2 linked regions of the Rhinolophus ferrumequinum genome follow. The protein of the gene in region 1 interacts with the protein of each later gene in a biochemical or structural test. Links are inferred from orthologs where the notes say so. Each region holds a gene or a part of one and is shown on either strand. Other genes may lie near its edges.

Region 1 (10,024 bases):
TCCTTATGAATTTCTTAATAACATTTTCGCTAGCTCATTTAAGTGTAAGAATATAGTATATAATATAAAATATGTGTTAATCGACTGTTTACATTATTGGTAAGGCTTCCAGTCAACAGTAGGCTATTAGTAGTTACATTTTTGAGGAGTCAAAAGTTATATGCAGATTTTTGATTGTGAGAGGGTTTGGCGTCCTTAACACCTGCATTGTACAAAGGTCAACTTAGTTGTTTCGATAACTACTGTTGTGCTGGGACAACTAGATATGTGCATGCACAAAACTGAAGTTGGGCTTCTGTCCTAAACTGTACCCCAAAGTTAATTAAAAATGGATCTGAGACATTAATGTAAAAGCTAAAACTATAAAACTAGAGAAACACATAGGAGTAAATCTTCTCGACCTTGGGTTAGGCAATGATTTCTTAGATATAATACAAAAACACAAGCAACAAAAGAAAAACTAAATTTACCTTCATAAAAATTAAAAAAAAAAAATTTGTCCTGCAAATGATACAATGAAGAAAAAGAGAACCTTCAAAATAGGAGAATACTATATATCTAATGAGGAACTTGTATCCAAAATATGTAAAAAATTCTTACAACTCAATAATAAAAAATGAGTCAATTGCATATAACCTATATTTTCATACCATTTCATTTGTGTGGATTCAGTGTAGTTCTTGGGTGAGGCAAATTCAAGTTTTGCTTTCTGGAACTTTCTGTGATTTTTTCCCCCCAATATTTTTGCTACTTGGTTGGTTGAACCTTCAGATACTGAGGGCCAGCTGTAATTATATTTTTAAAAAGTAAACTGCTAGACAAATACATGGCTGCCTGTTGTGGTATGTGAAGGAGTTATTTTTGAGCATATTTTTCCATCCTTTTTAATCTCCGGGTATAGGATCATGTCTGGCAATAAAGATACACAATACAATGTTACCTCGGTTTTCGAATGTAATCCGTTCCGGAAGACAGTTCGAGTTCTGAAACGTTCGAAAACAGCCAACAGCAAGGCCTCAGGATCTTGCACTCAGCGGAAGCTGCGTGACATGTTCCACTTCCGAGGCGTGTTCCAAAGCCGAAGGATTTACTTCTGGGTTTACGGTGTTTGTAAACCGAAGTGTTCGTCAACGGAGACGTTTGAAAACCGAGGTACTGCTGTAATTGTTTGCCAACTTGAATTTCACAGAAAATAAGAAATCAGAGGTATGCAGAGGAGGCTTGACTTCCTCAGAGCTACACGCCCAGGAAAGGGGCAGCCTTGGGAAGATAGCCCGTGCTTTTGACCCTGGCCAGAGTTCTCACCAGTGGGCTGTCACGTGTGGCCTAAGTTCAAATGCTATCCTTAGTCCTTAAGTAACTTTTTTATTTCTTGTTCAAAACCTCATTGACAACAGAAAAAGAAGGAAGTCCACCATTTGTAGGTGAAAGGTCCCTTTTTAATCAGGGTTGAGCTGGTGAGGGAGCTGAGCAGCAGAAGGAGGCTGTTCCTCTGGTGACATTCTGTGGCATTTTGGCAGATAGATGTGCCCAGGTGGTGGGCATCACGGAGATTCAGCGATGCTGGTCTAGCAAAAATAACTTGCCTTCTTAAGACAAGATAGGGTTAAATAACTACATTTTGTAAAGGTACACCTACATTTTAAAATTGTTAAAATGGTGAATTTTGTGTGTGTGACTTTTATCTCAACTTAAAATTATTTGTATAAAAGTACACCTAATGCTGTCCTCATTCTGGAACTTTCTCCCTTTTTTGCCAATCAAATTTTACCATTTCAATAGTTGGAGTTGAGTATTCTTTTATTTGCAACCTAAAGCATCCTAACACATGTCATGTGTAACTCACGTATTTTTAATTTGAAAGAGTTAAATATGAGGACCTTGCATTCTAAATATTAAAATGTACAATGTACGGATATATTCTACAGTAAAAAAAAAATGTCTGGCATTAAATTCTGGATAAAAGTAATGAAATATTCATGGAGTTTCAAGGTCCCACTATCTAGAAACAAAAAGATTCCCTCCCTCTCTGCCACCCAAGCAAAAACGGAAGAGAAAACAAAAATGTAAAAGTCACCGGTAGTAACCAAACAAGAAAAGGAGAAGGGCTTAATGAGATGGACTTCAGAAAATGCTCGCTCATATAGAAAACAGAAGTTTGAGAGGAGCAGGGTGAGGTCATGCTCCCACCTCCCAGAAACCATAACTGGTGTGTCTACAAAATCTTGACAATTCTCATTCAAATCTTGATAGAAGAAAGAGGAGTGATAATTTATTCTTAGCTTTCCCCATTTTTGACTCTGAGGTAGTGAAAATGTCTGCAGTGGAGATTAGAGAAAAAAGAGAAATGTCAGCTTTCTGTATGACTGTCAGAAGTCTGAGGGCTCCAGGGACCCACATTAACTGGGGGACGGAGCTGATGCTCAAAGTTGCCCCCAAAAGAGTGGGGTAAGCTCTTCCCTCTCCATCTCCCAATGAAGAGTGAACCCTCCTGCCTTCAACCCATTCTCATGCAGGAGGGAGGACCCAGTTATAGCAACGCAACTCCATAACCAATGCCCAAAGGTTATAGAAAATCAGGCATAAAGGGACTAATAAACCCTAAAAGTGACTCCCAGAACGAAGAAAGAATCAATGATTCTTTGATCCTGATGTAAGGATCAAGGAGCTGTCACCCACAGAGGAGTAAACAGAAGGCCTGGAGAAGCTAGCAAGTGTGGGCAAGTAAAACACCCGACTAGTAACTATGCTCAAAGGATAAAGAATCAGAATGAATAGACAAAGGAAAAAGACTCAGAATGGTTTGGATTTCTCAACAGCAACACTGCAAACAAGAAAACAATGGAATAATGGCTTAAAATTGTGAGGAAAAGTAATTTCTGAACTAGAATTCTATACAATCATGCAGGATGGAAGAGCACATCCAAACCATCAATCACAGTTGACGATAGAACCTTTTTGGATATGGGAGGTCTTTAAACTATCTACAGTAGTACTCGGTTTTCGAACGTCTCCATTGACGAACATTTTGGTTTATGAATGCCGTAAACCTGGAAGTAAATGCTTCTGTTTTCGAACACGCCTCAGAAGTTGAACATGTCACGTGGCTTCCGCTAAGTGCAAGATCCTGAGGCCTCGCAGTAGGCTGTTTTCGAACGTTTCAGAACTCGTGGATTACAGTCGAAAACCGAGGTACCACTGTACTTCCATTTGTCAGGAAACTCCTGGAGATTGTGATCCACCAAAATGACAGAGTAAACTAAGGAAGAGAAAGGAATACAAGAAACAACATGGAATACAAGAAACAACTCCAAAATAAAAGTGAAAGGAAGCACAGAACAGAAACAGAAGAAATGCATCCTTGAGAAACTGTAACTACAAATTGACCAAAATTGTGCCCAAATTTCCAGCCCAAATTCATATCACTTTGGTGATCCAAAAAAAAAAGAAAAAAAGAAAAAAATGTAACCTGAGAACTTTTCTTAAATTATCCAAATACTAGTTAAACCCTAGGTTTCGCACAGAAGCAAAGAAAAATTCTCTCTGAAAGAAAATACCTTCTTCCCAGGCCTCAACTAATTTCCACAAATATTTCAGGGACAACAAGTGGCCAAGTACACAGTCTAACGTGACCAAGTACACAGTAAGGCAGGCACCGTGAACAAGAACCACAGAAACACTCAGACAACACAAGCAGATAGATATGCGAGACTTCAGGTGGTGGAAATAACACAACAAAACTGGGGGAAAAACATTGACTATTTTTAAAGAAATAAAAATAATAATCTGCAGGGAACAGGAGACTTTAAAAAGTGACTGTGTGTAGTGTCCCTGAGATCATCCTGGTGCGCATTTTGCTAGAAGGGCTTCCAGGACTCAGCATACAATCACAGCGAAGACTGATCACAGTGAAAAGATAAAAAGCACTCAGCACATGGGGGGAAAGAAGAAAGGCTGGGAGAAATGTGTTGAGTTTCAGGAAGATTTTTTCTATTCATAGATATTTGTGTGATAATTTTAACATTAAAAAATCATTACAAGCATACTAATTAACTTTTTAAAGATGACTCAAAGGTGGGAAGGACCCAGTACTACAGGGAGGCAGGCAGATGGATCTAGAACATCACCTACCTCACCGCCATTAGCGGCCCCTAAGGAAACATGTAATTTCAGTAAACGCAAGGCAGGACCCCTACTTTTCAGCAATATCGCCGACTCTACTTTTCAGCAACATCGCCGACTCTAAAAACCTCCTGCAGCCTCCAGTCTTTTAGAGAACAACTGCTATTTCACTGGCTCTTTGAAGCAAAAACAAGTCCAGTGGTTAACAAATATAATCATAATAAAAACCCTTCCTTGGGTTAAAAATTAAATGGAAAAATGACTGGAAGAGAATGCCCAAGTGGAAAGTCTGAGGGGCTCCAATCTAATGTAAACACTTCCTATCGCCTTATTCTTCTCCATGTCAATTATAATCTAACACACTATTTTGTATTGGTCATTGTGTTTTGGCTCAGGGTACAGGTTTTCAAAACAGTGTTACCAAAAATGTGAGGGTCTGGAAACTTTCAGGGGAACGGACATTTCAAAGAGGGCTGTCCAACAGAAAAAGAAAAAAATGCGGAGAGAGGATGGGGAAGGGGAACCAGGTAGGTGTTTTAAAACCATTTTAAGGACTACAGAGAAGGGTTAAACTTATTAATAATTTATTTAGCTCCAGACTGCAGACCGCGGTAGGTATTACAGAAGGAAGCAAGTCAAACTCACTGTCAAGAACTTGGTAGCAATTAAAGCCATCAGAAAACTGGCTGTGTTGGGCAAGCTGGGCCCACCCAAAGGTGCGCCTGAAGTCTGGCGTTCATCTCAGGCAGGTCACCTGGCGGGATTCCAGGGCCTCCTGGTCACCGGTCAGCAGGGGTGTCTCGGGTTGATGACTGGGAATGCACCGCACAAGGAAAAAGGTTCTCTTCCTGAGGAATTGCACGGGGAAATGGGGGTGCCCCTAACAGCCTGTCGTCCTTAAAAAAGGCGACAGGGGGAGAGGTTCTCGTTGTTGGCAGTGCCCCGCATGGTATATGACGGCCCCTGTCCCGGGCTTCTGTGCCCGGGAGACGGGTGGAACGGTCACCCGGCCGCTCTCCTCCTCCCCTCCGGCCTCCCAGGTCGACCTCGCCGCCGGGTACCCGCGCGCTCTGGCCGCCGCTGCCCTGCCCTGGGTTCTCGGGGCGCCTTTGGCGCTGGGGGCACAGGCAGCTGTGGGGGCGCACGGGGCGCTGGGGAGGCGGCCGGGAGGAAGTGTGGGGCCTGCCCGGGCGCGTTAAGGAAGTTGCCCAAAATGAGGAAGCGCCGCGCGCTGGGCGGGTGAGGCGACTCCGCGGCCGGCGCCGCTCCTCTCCCATCCTCCCGACGCCCCGGCCCCGCGCCCGGCGCCCCGCACGGCGACCCCACGCCGCCCCGCCCTCGCCTTACCTGCGCAGGTAGGTGTGGCGCGCGCTCCTTCCGCTCGGCCCGCGGGACCGCGGAGCCCCGGCGCTTTGGGGCCGGGAAGGCGGCGAGCAGGGAGCGCGGCCCTGCGCCTCCTTGGCCGCTTTCTGGGTGTCCGGGCTCAGCCGGGCAGGGACGCTCGGGGCCTTCGGCCTTTGAAAAAGGAGGGGAAATTGATGACATCGTTCGAATAGAAGCAGGTAGGTGGTGCCAGCTTTTCTCCTAAACCCAGAGCCTCACGGGGTCCGACTCCTGTACTAGGTGCCAGGCCTGGGCCCGGGGGTCAGTGCGGGGGTCCCCGGACCCCAGGTGCCCTGGCAGCGCCCACAGTGTCCCGACAGGGTCCTGGGAAGCAGGAGCTGGAGTCCGCCGGCACGGGGAACTCCAAAATAAGAAATTTTCGTTCGTCCATTTACATGAATGCCCTGGAAAATTCCACTGTATTTATCGAAGTGACTCAATGTACAAATGTTCGTGTGCCTGCAGAGGTTTTATATACACTACATTTCGTGTACTACAGAAAGAAAGAGCAGTTGCATCGACACATGAAACTTTCTTAACTACTACCAAAATTTTGCATGATTGCTCCTTTTACGACACGTTTTCGTGGTAAAGTAACTTAATTAGCCAATGAATGACTTGGAGCGCAGGGTAGTTTTATGCAGTAAAATGTAAATTTTAAGTGTTGTTTGTTTTTTTGTTTGTTTGTTTTTTTGTCAATATGGTTTAAAATATTAAACCCACCTAAATAACTGTACAAAGACAATTCTTTTTTTCGTTTGTCTGAATGTTGAAGTATTAGAAAGGCTTCGTTGGAGAAATTAGAGTTTAAATCGTTCTAAGTTGGAAACAGTGTTGCAGATTACTTGAATGAGTTTGCCTGACTCCCCAAAGATTTCATTGAACCCAAGTAGAACTGTTACTGGAGGAATTGGTCTTTCTCTTAAACCCTCGGAACATTTCAGCGTGTAGTTGAAAGAGTTGGAGTTGTCCCACATTTGAATCTTCGTACTAAATAATAATAATAATAAATAAATAATAATTGTGATAATGGAGAATTTCCAGAAGAAATGGAATTGACTCTAGTATCTGATTTCTTTGTTTTAGTAAGGACAAATTCATTGCTATTTCACAGGCAGGATTTCAATTAAAGGCAATTAAATTCATTAATGCCCCTCCCTGCCAAAAGTCTGGATGGTGCATAGATATATGTATTTGTATTTGAGCTAAATGATTAAAATACTTGTAAAGTGTTAGGTGTTTTAAGTGAGAAATCTTGTCAGTTAAAATGATTTTATCAAATCATTTTGTTCTATCTACATCATATGTGTGATGTGTTTAGAGTTTTGCAATAAAATAGAAATTGATTTGTATTCTCTATGTCTGTAATGCTTAGATATGTAGGATTATGTAGTCTTAACTAGAATTGTTTTTAATGTTTTAAGCCATGATGAAAATGAGGTGTGTACTTTAGGTCCTTACCTTTCCTGGGGGATGAAATTGGCTGGAAGATCATTTAATTGGTAGGTTTACACTTCAGAAATAGCTCACTTTAGCTTTCCTTCAGCTCATGTTTAATATTCTGAGAGCAGGTCTGATTTCTCTGTTTTTAACCCAGACTTCTTAGTAGGACACCACTTAGGCAGCACACTGCATGTTCGTGATCGTTTAAAACCCTTGTGCTCAGATAGGTTTTGGAATGCAGGATTTTTCACAGTTTAGAATTCAAAGTTAGAATTTTAGCATTGAGAAAGACATTTCTCAGAATTTAGACAGGTATGTATGCACACTGACACCGTATGGTGGGTACCACTCCGATACAGCCTCCTGTAATGGCACACGTTAATGTTTGTGCATTGACACTGTGAACAGCCTCAGTATGTGGAATAAATAAAGACTGTAATTAGCTGTGCGTCAGTTTAGGGCAGGCATTGTCCCTAAATGAGAGTCCCTAAAACTTACCAAAGAAACCTGTTTTTCAGAGCATTTTGGAGTTCGACTAAAGGACTGAGTCTGTGTGAGACTCCATCAAGCTACTGTTTTGCTTTTGAAAACACATTGCTTTTCTATTGCCCAATAACTCACACTTTTCAGTAATTAGATAGGCAATTCCCTTCTTGTCAGGGAGTCTGAAATAGCATAACTTCACTGAATTTTCAGTGATAACCATCAAAATGTAAATCCTGCAAGTAAGAATAGGATGTTTCATCCTTACTGATGTACTTTCAAACAGCAGATTTTCTGACAGTCTAGGATTGTAGAGCAAGAACACAGTGGTTACTCAAGGAAAGGGTACTATCACCATTTCCAACTGCAGTATGTGCTTGGAAGAAATGTCTCCTGTTCACTGTGCAGCTGGCTCTGTCGTCTGTGCCTAAGGAATGGCAGGACACTCCAATCTGACCTCATTTTTGCTGAGAAAGCTTTCACTGTAACAGATTTTTTCCAACTAACTCATCTTCTCTCCCCTGCCCCTCGTTTGCAAGTTTTAACATTTTCTTCCACTTCTGGATTGGTTTAGCTATAAATGAGTGGAGAAAAAATTAGGAATTTAGGCGTTTGGGGAGAATTTTTAAAAATGTCTGCATACTGAACTTTTTTTTTCTTTAAAAGCAATTAAAATCAAAAGGCAGAATCTTAAAGAGAGATTGGAATTAAATTGCCTGATTTAATTATGTCCTATCATCTTACTCTTCTACTTTGATTTGAACAGGTTTGTTCCTTTTCACGTGGAAAAGAGTTTAAAAAAATTTTTTAACTGAGGAATTGTGGGAAAATTTTTAAAAAATAGGCTAAATTTTAAAGGAAAAAAAATCATCCATTTTGACACTATATTACCAGGGAAATTTTCTATTAGCGTATAAGTTTGTCTGACAAAGTTATTTTGCATCATTTTGACTTTTTTTTTTGCCCTTAAGAATTAATTATGTAAGTTTTGCCATGTGACTCTTGAAAGGTGATTGAATTGGAATCTTAAGTATAATCAGATTTAGTCAAGGCCATAGATACCAATAGAAAAAAGAACATTTAGTATGTGTTACAGTAGATTTAATAAATCAAAATTGACTCCCTCTTGATTCTTTTATTCTTGGAAAAACCATGTGTTTATTTCTGGAGGCCACCAAAGGCTGGCGATGAGAGGAGGAAGAAGATAGGACTGATTTAGAGTACTGGTGACGCCACGGTGACCATGGAGGGTGTACTGAAAGCTTGTGTGATGGGCAGTGCCTGGTGAGCACCGTGCTCTCTTCTGGGGTAGCTAGCTAGCTCTGACACTGGAGTCCTTGCTTCTGAAGCTGGTGGCAGTACCCCTCGCTGCTGTGCTGGAGCACTAGAGGGGAGTACGGACGCAGGAGCGTGCTGGCCTTCCAGACTGGCATGCTGAGTGTGAGAAGTATGGTACGAGGCAGCTGAGCAGGCAGCAGGCCCTACGGGGAATGCAGGCTGGTGTGAGGGTAAGTGAGGCCCAGGACTGGCTGGGTCAATGGAGGAGCCCCTTAGGGCAGCAGCGTTTCAGGAAAAGCCACAGTTTAAGTATTGGTTTGTTTTGTTATACTCTGCATGGCATTTGATGTCCAACACAGCACATTCTGTTTGTCTTAATTGATAAATCTTCATTCTGTCTTGGCCAGTCTGATAATTTATTAAATCTATCCATTTCTATTGAGTTGTCATGGAAATGTTATGGTGTGACCAGAGTTCATTTTTCTTTTTTAAAATTTTAATTTGTGACAATACTTTCCCATCCGCTACTACTGCTCCCTAAAAGCAACCATTTTATATTTTTATTGCTATTTTTTCTAGAATTCTCTCCCTTTAGTTTCTTATTATGTGCTCATTTGCTTACGTTTTGGGTGATCACATTTAGACAGTGCCTGCTGACTTCTTACTCTGAGAAACGAGCACTCGGCCATCCTATATGCCCCACCACCCAGGATAATCGTCCTAGAATTTGGGGTTAAGGTGCTATTTGGTGTTTACTTCATTGTCATGATGTTTACTGCTAAAGGAAGGTGTATAATACAGTTTCATTTTCTTTCTCGGACCCCTTGCTGCTCTTCCTGGGGTAAACTCTCGTTCTGGTTTGGGGTTTTTTCATTGGGCTCTGTGCCTATTACAATTTTCTCCCCGACTCTCTGACACTAAGCTAAAACCCTTATTGACTCAGTTTCCCACTGAGTCAAACATACCACGCAATCTATCGGTTCCACTTTTCTTTCTTTGTTTCTGGAACCTTCTGTCTTCTTGCTCCAGTCTGACAATTTCTCTTCTGTCTTGCTACACAGATACTAATAGCTGAAACATATTTTTGGGAATTGGTTAACTACATACATTTCCGACAAATTGACCCTTTATCTTATCCTTTGAGGTCTTGACATACCTCTTACTAACATTCACGTACATTTTATCTATTATAAATCCATTGTCATAACTATGGAAAACACTTCCCCAGACTTGTTATTTCCAGGGTTATTTATTTGTAGCATAGAACTTTTGTAATTTCTTCCAACAGGACATATTCTGAATCATACTTAGTGAA
Region 2 (10,119 bases), on another chromosome or scaffold:
CACATAAGTGTAGAGCTCACAGACCCCCAAAAGACAGAAAAACATTCGGCCACATAACTATGGCTACTTAACTGAGAAGTGGCGAAAGCTTTTCTGGAAGTCAGGATAAAAATCTTAAGATCACGAAGCCAACTGATGAAAAGCAAAAAGCTCTACTCAGACACACCGCATACTGTGAGGTTCTCAAGAGTTTGCTCTTTCAGAGCGAATGAAGGATGCAGCATAGTGAGTGGCAAGACCAAGCTGAGCAGTTATAAAACAGACGAAGCTGGTTTCAGCCCCTCCATTTCCCCACTCCAAATTCTTACTCTGGTTTTCTTCAAGATCCCTTTCAACATCAAGAAAAATGCTAAACTACAATACTTTTGAGATGATTTGCTTTTTCTCAAATCAGAATCTTTACCCAAAGATTAAGGCAATATCTGGTGGGTATTTGAGGAGTCAGCAAGATTGTAATCTTGAACATTGCATGTAAGGGCTTTCGTCACACTGCTCTCTGGGTTTCATTAGAAAATGACAAGATGAGAGGAACATGAACTATAGAGAAAGTGGTAAGGCTGAGCCATCGCGGGGGCTTCTCAAGTGAGCAGAAACACTTTTTTGGGAGTAAAATGTAGTCAACAAACTTGTTCAAAGAACCATGTAGACAATTACTTCCTCCCCAAAACCCAAAAGATGGTCATATCGAACTCTGGAGCTGTCCAATTGTTTTATTCAAAATGGAAGAGCAGTTTCTTTCCCACAACCATTAAATACAGGGCAGCCATGTTGAAGTAGTTTTAGCAGACAAAAATCCTGGTTGAAGCTCCTTCATTGAAGCATGCTATTTTTCTCCTATGGATATTTAGTGACCACAAGAACTGTTTTGGAAGGTTGAATTAATTGAAAGCAAGCTTTGTGCTCAAATGCTTTTCCTGAGGAAAGGCAACATCCATGCATTTCTTAAATAGAATGGAATTCACTATTTCTATGTAAGTTCCCTCATCCCCATCTCTTTTGTCTTTCTACCTCTTGTGTCTAGCACAGAAAAATAGGTATCCAATTAAAGTTTATCCAAGAAAAATTTCAGTCTTTCTCATGCATGCTTCCGCATCATCTTTCTTGTCTGAAGTCTTATCTGGAATATAAGTAAGTGGTCCTTCTCCCCATTTAATATCTTATTACCTGGCTGTTTTTCAGTTAAACAATAGGAGAATTCAACAACAACAAAAATCTTTACTGATACATAAGGGTTACTGAACATGTCTTTCTAGTTATAAAAAGGAGAGCCATTCTTTAATGGAAGGTAAGTAGTTCACAATTAAACCTAAGAGGATGATGTGAAGTACCTGGGAAGAAATGAATAGCCAATCTAAACTTGTATGATGGCCCCGATGCAAAGGACTTTTAACATCAGTTCACCAGGCCTGGTGTCTTATCCAATCCAAACCAGTCTTTGCCTGGCATCCCTTCCCTCCTCCTCCTCCTGAATCACACTCCCCACCCCTCAGGCTGGCAGTTTACAAGGAAGCCAATAAAGTAAGATAAGCAACTAGGACAACGGATAGCAACCAAAATGTGCAATTCAAGTCTCTAAATATGAATTTTCTGACCCTAGTGAAAGAGGTCGTATATCATATTTACTGAAATCTTGAAGTCCTCCCCTTTCTTATCCAGCACCAGCACACAATGCAGTGAAGGCCATGGCCAGTACATTTCTGTACATACTTCTTAGAAAGACTCAGCATTCATTATTCATGAAAGGTAGAGCTTACAATATCAGGGAAATGGGGATCGAATATTATACTTTCAGGAATTTAGAGCTTTTAGACATTTTTAAATTTTTCCATTATGGTTGCTATTCAATAATGTTTTATATTACTTTTGGGTGTACAGCATTGTGGTTAGACAAAGCTTTTACACGTTTTAAAGCCCTCACTTTTAAGCTCCTCATTTTGTGTTTCTTTATTAAAAAAAATCTGTACTACTGGGTGTTGGCAGTGATGCGAGGGACTGGAAACCCCCATATACTGCCAGTGGGAATGTAAACTGGTACGACCACTATGAAAAACTGTTGGACAGAGTCCAACAAAACTGAATATACACCTTCCCCTATAATACTCGTGGGTATCATCCTAGGAGAAATGGGAGTTCATGTCCACCAAAAAATGTGCCAAAGAATGTTCACAGCACTATTATTCATATTACACAAAACTGAAAATAACTTACATGTTCAACAAGAGAATGGATAAGTTGTATAGTATATTCATATTAAGGACTAGTACCCAGCAATTAAAAAAATTACCACTGCTGCTGAGAACAAGGTTGAATCTCCTAATCACAATATTGAGTGAAAGAATCTGGACATAAAAGAGTATATCATGGTGGTCTGGTTTACATGAAGTTCAAAAACAGGCAAACCAATGGTATAAGAAGTCGAAATAGTGGCTACGTTTGCAGGGTACTGACTGAAACAGGGCGGAGCTAGACTTGCTCAAAACTTGGTCCAACAGTGATTATGTGGGTACATACATACCTGTATGTAAAAACTAATGAAGTTGCACTGTTAAGATTTGTGCATATTTGCTATATGCAAATTATACCTCATTTACAAAAATCTGGAGAGAGATGTCAAAATCTGGGGGCTCATTCCTAAATAAAGAATTCAATGCAGCTTAAATATAGTTGCAAATACTGATCTTTACTTTTCCAAAGCCTTTGTGTGCCACCGAAAAACTCACTTATCGGTGTCATACCTAACAGAAAGTTAACTCTTTTTATTCATAGACTGAAAAACATATTGTACTATGCATTTGAAATGTACCTATTTACCAACTAGTAAATCTGTTTCAGAAATGCAAACTGTCTGTTTTCCCACTTCTTTCCTCCTTATGTTACGTTTCTTACTCTGTAATTCTGAATGATGTGTAACAACAGCTTTGGACATACTTCCTGCACGTCTATATCGGAAATCTTTTCTCTCTTTACCACAGAGACCTTAAGTTAGAACCCTAGAATGTGGGAGCTGTGGGTGCCGCTTCCAAGACTGTAGAAGGAGAATAAGGGACCCGAGGCTCTCGGTCTCCCAGAACTCTGTCTCCTTCATCCCAAACTCCAGAGTCAACCATCTCATCTTTCCAAACGGATGGAGTGGATCTTTTAGAAAGGGTTATTTATTTATTTGTTTATTTATTTATTTATTTATTTATTTAGTAGTAATCACTATGCTACCCAGCAGATTATTTGGGAACCGTCACCTGAGTCCTTGAAAACTCCCTTGGGGTTTAATGCCAGGATAAAAATCCAGTAGAGGAGGAAGGGGCAGCTAGTATTTTAATATGCAAATCCTCTTTGCATAACATTTCCAAAGTCACTACTCGTTGACCCAACCGAAACTTGGCGTGGGTAGGGGTCGTTATTACGAATGAGTCTCTTCGGGAAAACGCGGGCGAATTTTCCAATCAGAGTTCACTCCACACATAAAAACCCCAAAAGAAGAGCTGAAAGACGCCACCCGGGAGCCTACGATATCCAGGGTCGGTCCTGGCGAGGTCCCGAGCCAACCGGCGCCAGCCTGGGGGTCCCAGACGCTGGCGGATGGCCCAGCACCCGAACCGAGCGGGAGCGCAGGCGGCGGAGCGGCCCCGGCCCGGGGCAGCGCCTCGGCGAGGCCGCCCGCGGAGTCCGGGCCGCAGATCCGGACGCGACCCGAGCCGGGCAGCGACTTTAGAGAAGAGGCAGGAGGATATGGGGTGGGCAGGACGGGGGCCGCGAGCCAGTTGAGGGCGAGTCGGGAGGGCGCAACATAGGGGAGGGGCGCGGGCGCGGGGAGGAACGCAGCGGTGGGGACCTGGAGGCGCGCGCCAGGCCACCGTGCGGGCTGGCGGCTGAGGCCGCGCCGGGGGCTATGGGGGCCACGAGCGGGCGGGCAGGGTCTTACCGAGCAGCGGCAGCCGGCCGCCGCGGCGCGTCAACGCCGGCATGGCCTCCGGAGCCCGGGGTCCCCAGGCCGCGCCGGCCCAGCCTGCGATGCCGCCCAGAGCGGCGCGCCCCGCGCTGCAGGTGGCTCGCTTAAGGATGCGCGTCACCGACCGCAAATTCCCTCGGACTGGTGCAAAGTGGAAGGGGGGAGGATCCCTCTCCCCACCCGCAGGGGCCGAGGCAGGCGAGCAGAGGTTGGGCAGAGCCGGCGCAGCTCTTCGGCCGAGCCCACGTGCCCGCCGTGTCCGCAGCCCGCGTTCCGCGCTCCCGGGGCTCCCCGGCGGTGGCGGCGGGGATTGGGCATCGTTTCGCCCGGGCAGTAGCAAGGGCTCTGCCGCTCCGGGTGGGGAGGAGGCACGGCAAGACCGGCCTTACCCCGCGAGTCCCTGAACGTTCTCGTTTGGATCCTGGAGCACGGGGACAGGTCTTTGAGGCCCCAGGATGGGAGATAAACCGCGCTCCACCCGCGGCTCTGGCCAGCGCGCAGGCCAGCAGAGGGTCGCGTTCCGCGCTCGGTGAATCCTGACTGCCCGCTGGTTTCCTTTGTCTCCCCCTCCGTCTCCTAGGATGCCCAGGACCCAGCCAGCAGTGGCAGCAAGAAAAACAGGCTGTTTCAATGTCAACCCAGGCAATTCGGGGGCTAGAACCTGCCATAGAAACAAAAGCAAAACACTGACAGTGCATCCCAGAGGATGTTTTGAATTATCCACTCCGTAGTTCTTGTTCTTCATTACATAGTATTTCAAGTTGAAATTTATTTTATTTGCAATAAATTGAAGATTGGAAAGCTGTGGATGCCAGTTCTGACTCTTGTTAAGCAGCGTTTTGACCTTCACAAGCCATTGCCTTCTCAGAGTCCCACTTTAATCACCTGGAAAGGAGGGGAATGGATCCAATGGTTTATAATGTGTCTCCAAATTCTAGGATTTCCAGGCTTTTAATTATTTTAATCATTTTCTAATAAAGCATGATAATTGACAATGTTCACTCTCGGCCATACAACCCTTTTTCACTACTGTAGTCTATAGAAAAATAATAGACCTTCCCCTACCCCGCAGGCATGACAGAAACTTTAAAGTGTCTACTATGATGCAGCCACCGTAGTGGCAATATGGCAGTTCCTCAAAAAAATTAAAAATAAAATTACCATATGATACACTAATTCTCGTATGTACCCAAAAGTACTGAAAGCAGGGTCATAAACAGATATTTGTGAACCTATATTCATAGCAACATTATTCACAATAGGCAAAAGGTGCAGGCAACCCAGATGTCCATCCAAAGATAAATGGATAAACAAAATTGGATAAATGGATAAAAAAATTAGTATATCCATACAATGGACTATTATTCAGCCTTAAACAGGGAGGAAACTACAACATGGAGGAACCTTGAGGACGTGCTAAGTGAATTAAGCCAGGCACAAAAAGACAAAAACCGTATGACTCTACTTATATAAGGTACCTAGAGTAGTCAAATCCATAGAGAAAGAAAGTAGAAGCTTGGTTGCCAGGGGTTGGAGGCAGAGGGAGTAGAGAGTGGTTATTAAGTGAGGACAGAGCTTCAATTTTGCAAGACAAAGAGGCTCTAGAGATTGGTTGCACAACAGTATGTGAATATAATTAATACCACTGAGCTGTACACTTAAAGATGGCTACAATGGTAAGTTCTATGTTATGTGCATTTTATCACAATTCAAACTTAAACAAAAATTTTAAGTGTCTATCTGAGGTCAGACACAGAACCAGAGGAAGAAGCATGAGTTAAGAAGCATGAAGAAATAAAAGCAATGAAGCAGGCTGGTAATGGGAAGAAAAGTGGGCTAGTGAGCCTTCCAGTTGCCAAGATCGAATGCATTACCTTTTATTTATAGCTTGGTTACTACCAGCGTTAAAAAAACTGATGATTCCAAGTTTGCGAAAGAACAGCTTGGGTGAGGCACTGTTTGAGGACACAAAATCATGAAGATACTGCTGCTTTTTCAAAGAATCTTAGATGCAAGGCAGAAATCTCCATGAGAAGATGTAGTAAGAGGGGGAGAAACTTGGAATGGCTTCTGTACGCACCTGATTTTCCCTGGAAATTGGTGGAGCAAATTTTGTGGACTGAAAAATTTTGGAGTATGAGGTATAGGCTGCCATTTAGAAGGTGCGATAGTACCCATCATTCTTGAAGTGTACCTAGAGTCATATATCTATTATGATACCTAATTTATACCTCACAACAGTACTCTAGGAAGGTAGCCTTATATTGTCGAGAGCCCTAGATTGCACAGCTATTAACAGTTATGCACACCCAAGTGGAAAATGTTGGTTCCAGAACTCATGATATGAAGCCTATTATAAACAAGCCGCTAAAGGGTTAAGAAGCAACGAGGAGGAATAAGACGAAAAAAGAAACTGGAAGAGAGAAGAGTAAGTGTGTTTCTGGGTTGAATGGGGTGTCTTGCATGAGCCCTACAAATGAGTATTTTATCTAGATTCTTACCACTATAAAGCTTAGCTGCTACATAGCCGTGAGTAAGTGGCCATTCATCTTAGAACATCTTTCCAACCTTAAATTACACAAATATCTCCCTCTCCCCCTTCAACAATTGTGACACATTTTCATGGGCAACCTATAGGTGAAATACTTTAGTGTCATTTTTAAATCCAAAACTTTATATTTTCCTGCAAATAAGGGACAAGCAAAAGAAATATTTGAATAGGATTCCCGTAAATTCAGTTGAAATATCAACTATATCGTTCAATTTTACACATCTTTTATCAATAAAGAGTTTGAACCCACCAATTGGCAAAATCTGACAATTCCAAGTGTATACAAGGATTCAGAGCAATGAGTAACTTCCACTACTAGTGGGGATCTAAATGATTATAAGCACTTTGGAAAATAATTTGACATTACTTACTTAAATTGAGCAGGTGCACACATTACACCATCGGTTTCTCATCTGTATCTCTATCTCTATCTTTATCTCTATATCTATTTAGAGAAACTCATGTGCACCAGGAGACCTGTACCAGAATGTTCATAGCATTTCCGTTTGTAATATCAGAAAATCAGGGATAATTTAAATGTCCACTAGCTAAAGAATAAACTGCAATATATTCATAGAATGAAATCCTATACAAGTGAAAATGAATGTACTACAGTTACCCAAAACAACATGGATGAATCTCAAAAATCATAATGTTGAACCAAACAAATTCTCTTTAGGAATATGCTCATAAGGGGCATAAAGAAAGTGAAGGAATAATTATCACAAAGGTGAGGATAGTTCTTACCTCTAGAATGGGATGCAAAGAGAAGTCGATTTTATTAAGGCAAATGGCAATACTCTTGTTTTTTAGCCTCTGCAATGGGGTCTGGATGTTCACTTTATTATTATTCTTTAAACTACAATTAGTTTTATATACTGCTATGAGTATGATGTATTCACAATAAAAGAACATTTAAATGGAAGTTTGACACAACACTTCCACCACTGAAGTAGTCTTATCCAAGCAAACAATATTTGAATCTGATTAAGATCCCAGATCTAACTGCCAATTTATAGGAAATTACATAGGACGGTGGAGTAGATTAAACAATGACATAATAATACAATCAGAAAATTCCAGACCCCAGGAGACTTTATAGAACAAATAATCTAGTTTCTTCAACAAAAATTTGTAAGAAAAAAAAGCAAGCATTGGAGGGATGACCGATAGATGAAAAGAAACCTAACAGATAGATAAAGCAATTGCAATGTGCAATTAAGGGTTTTTCTTGGACCCTGATTTAAGCAAACAAACTGAAAATAAATTATAAAATAATCAGGAAAATATGACTACTGGTTTTATCTCTGACATTTTTATGCGTGATAATGATATTATTATGTATTTTTTTAAATAGTTCCTATCTTTCTATGTGTGCATATGAAATACTTACAGATATGATAAAATTATATGAAATGGAAAGGTTGAAGGGAGAATAGGGAATAACTAATGAGTACAGGGCTTCTTTTGAGGATGATGAAAATGTTCTAAAATTAGATTATAGCGAGAGATGCACAACTCTGTAAATAAACTAAAAACCATAGAATTATACATTAATAGGCGAACTACAGAGCATGTCAATTAGATCTCAATAAAACTTAAAAATGATGTACCGTCTGGAGTTTTCTTCAAAATAATTTAATGTGGGGAGTTTGAGGGGAGGAGTCAAAATTGACCATGTGTGACTGCTACTTGAGAGAAATAAATTTTGATCGTGTTCAATCCACTGGACCTTGGGGTCTTTCTGTAACAACAGCTTAACTTGCACCCTATTTTTATTCCTACCATTTCTGCATATAAACCCGAAGTTGGAGTCATAGTGAACTAGGACTTCAAACTCATTACATTCTACCTGGTTTCCATGTCTTGATACTCCCATGTTGTTTTTGCCTGGAATGACTCATTCCCCTTTCTCACCATTTCTGTTGCCCTTTCCAGTCTGTCTAACTTTTATTCACCTTCTAGATTCATCCGGGACTACTCTACGGTCTCCCCACCCCACCCCAACTGTGAGTTAGGTAGATCCTCTTGTTTCTCACTTCTATATGTAGCACAGTATGTTTGTCCCACTCCAACCCACACCCCACCCACACCCCTCACTTGTACTCACACTTGTATTCCTAGACCTTAATACAATGACCAGCATACAGTATGCTCTCATTAGTCATTAAATATTTGTTGCATGACTTGTTTAATTTTCCCACAGGTTTCTAAAATACTTTGTAATATAGAAATTTTCTGTCATATGCAAAAGTATGGGGAACAATCTAACGATACATGTATCCATCAATCATGATCATTTTGCCATTTGGGGATGGATAGAGTTCAAGAGACAATCTTTGGATAGTCTTTGGAGACAGTGTTTTAAATTAAAAAGTTACTTCAGTGGGGAGGATTTCAATCACTGTGGCAAGCTGGTAAGACGATACTTTGGAGCAGGTTGGGGTTTTTTGCGGGGTGCGGTGAAGGGTCTTCAACTCAGAGCAAGCATTTTTGAAATGGACAGGCAATAAAAGTAATAAAGAATAATTTTTCATTCCCTCCAACCAACACTTATTAAATGCTTCTGGAGGCACTGGAGTTACACAGGTGAGGAAGATAATTCCTATGTTCAAAGAGGTGGATAATCTAATATGGCTTGATAGTCACATAAACAAATACTTGCATCAAAGTGTTACAGGGGCTTTGATAGACACATGTGCCAGCCATAGCAGGGTCCCAATGGAAAGTATGGTCAATTTTCTACAAAACATGCCCTCAGCCTTAGAACCCCGGCTTTACCTCAAGGAAACTCCTCTCCGTAGTCCTCTCAAATGCTACTTATTTTCCTCCAATGCCATGGATGGTGGAGCCAGGAACGTGGGCATTCTTCGAGCTATTCATTGCTACTTACACACCATTACCTCCGTTTTCTTTTCTTATTTTAAAAAGAATATTCCTTTTCTAGCTGAAGTATACATGTTTAATGCACAAAAAATTGGGAAGTACACAGTCATACACAAATACTATAAGTACCAAATAGTAACTATTAGCAATTCGATGTTGGTCCATCTAGTTTTTCCTCTATACATGTATGTATATACAGTATACATATACATGTATAGCATATATATACATATATGCTATTGATATTTAAATTGGTATTTAAAAAATGAGATCATCTTATACATGCTCTTTTATAGCTTGCTTTTCAAAAAATCAAGTGTCCATGTTGATTTTTCTACAAAGTTATTTTTACTCATCAGAAATTCCATCATATGGATGAATCATAATTTATGTAACCAATCCATGTTGTTGGGCATTTTATAGCTCTTTTTATTTTAGTTAATATTCAGTTATGGTTGCAAATTTTAGAGCTTAGTTTTTTTGAAGATTTGGTGCTCAACTTACAAATTTTATTAATAAATCTAATATAGTTTGCTTTAACATTTAAAACACTCATTTTTACTTGTACTTGATTAATTCTCAATCATCTTATGTTTAAATTATTAATTATAAATTCATTCTTAAATCTTTCTAAACATTTACCAAATTTTCTTAAGCATTTCAAACTATAAGTCACACATTTAGTCAATTTATTCCTCTTTAGCAATCAAATACCTAATAAGGTCTAATTAAATTT

Evidence for each region.
Region 2: of the proteins of SYK (region 1) and FLT3, one has a biochemical effect on the other in vitro, tested with the Homo sapiens proteins (2 studies listed by IntAct, with this or other methods). The link is inferred for Rhinolophus ferrumequinum from reciprocal best matches to the Homo sapiens genes SYK and FLT3.

The regions. Positions count from the first base shown.
Region 1 is NC_046295.1:3,381,311-3,391,334, reverse strand, and holds the start of SYK (tyrosine-protein kinase SYK), read left to right. Parts: upstream 1-5,351; 5' UTR 5,352-5,477; exon of another isoform or gene 5,478-5,684; intron 5,685-10,024. UniProt on the Homo sapiens protein: Non-receptor tyrosine kinase which mediates signal transduction downstream of a variety of transmembrane receptors including classical immunoreceptors like the B-cell receptor (BCR).
Region 2 is NC_046287.1:99,998,400-100,008,518, forward strand, and holds the start of FLT3 (receptor-type tyrosine-protein kinase FLT3), read right to left. Parts: upstream 4,165-10,119; 5' UTR 3,963-4,164; coding exon 3,920-3,962; intron 1-3,919. UniProt on the Homo sapiens protein: Tyrosine-protein kinase that acts as a cell-surface receptor for the cytokine FLT3LG and regulates differentiation, proliferation and survival of hematopoietic progenitor cells and of dendritic cells.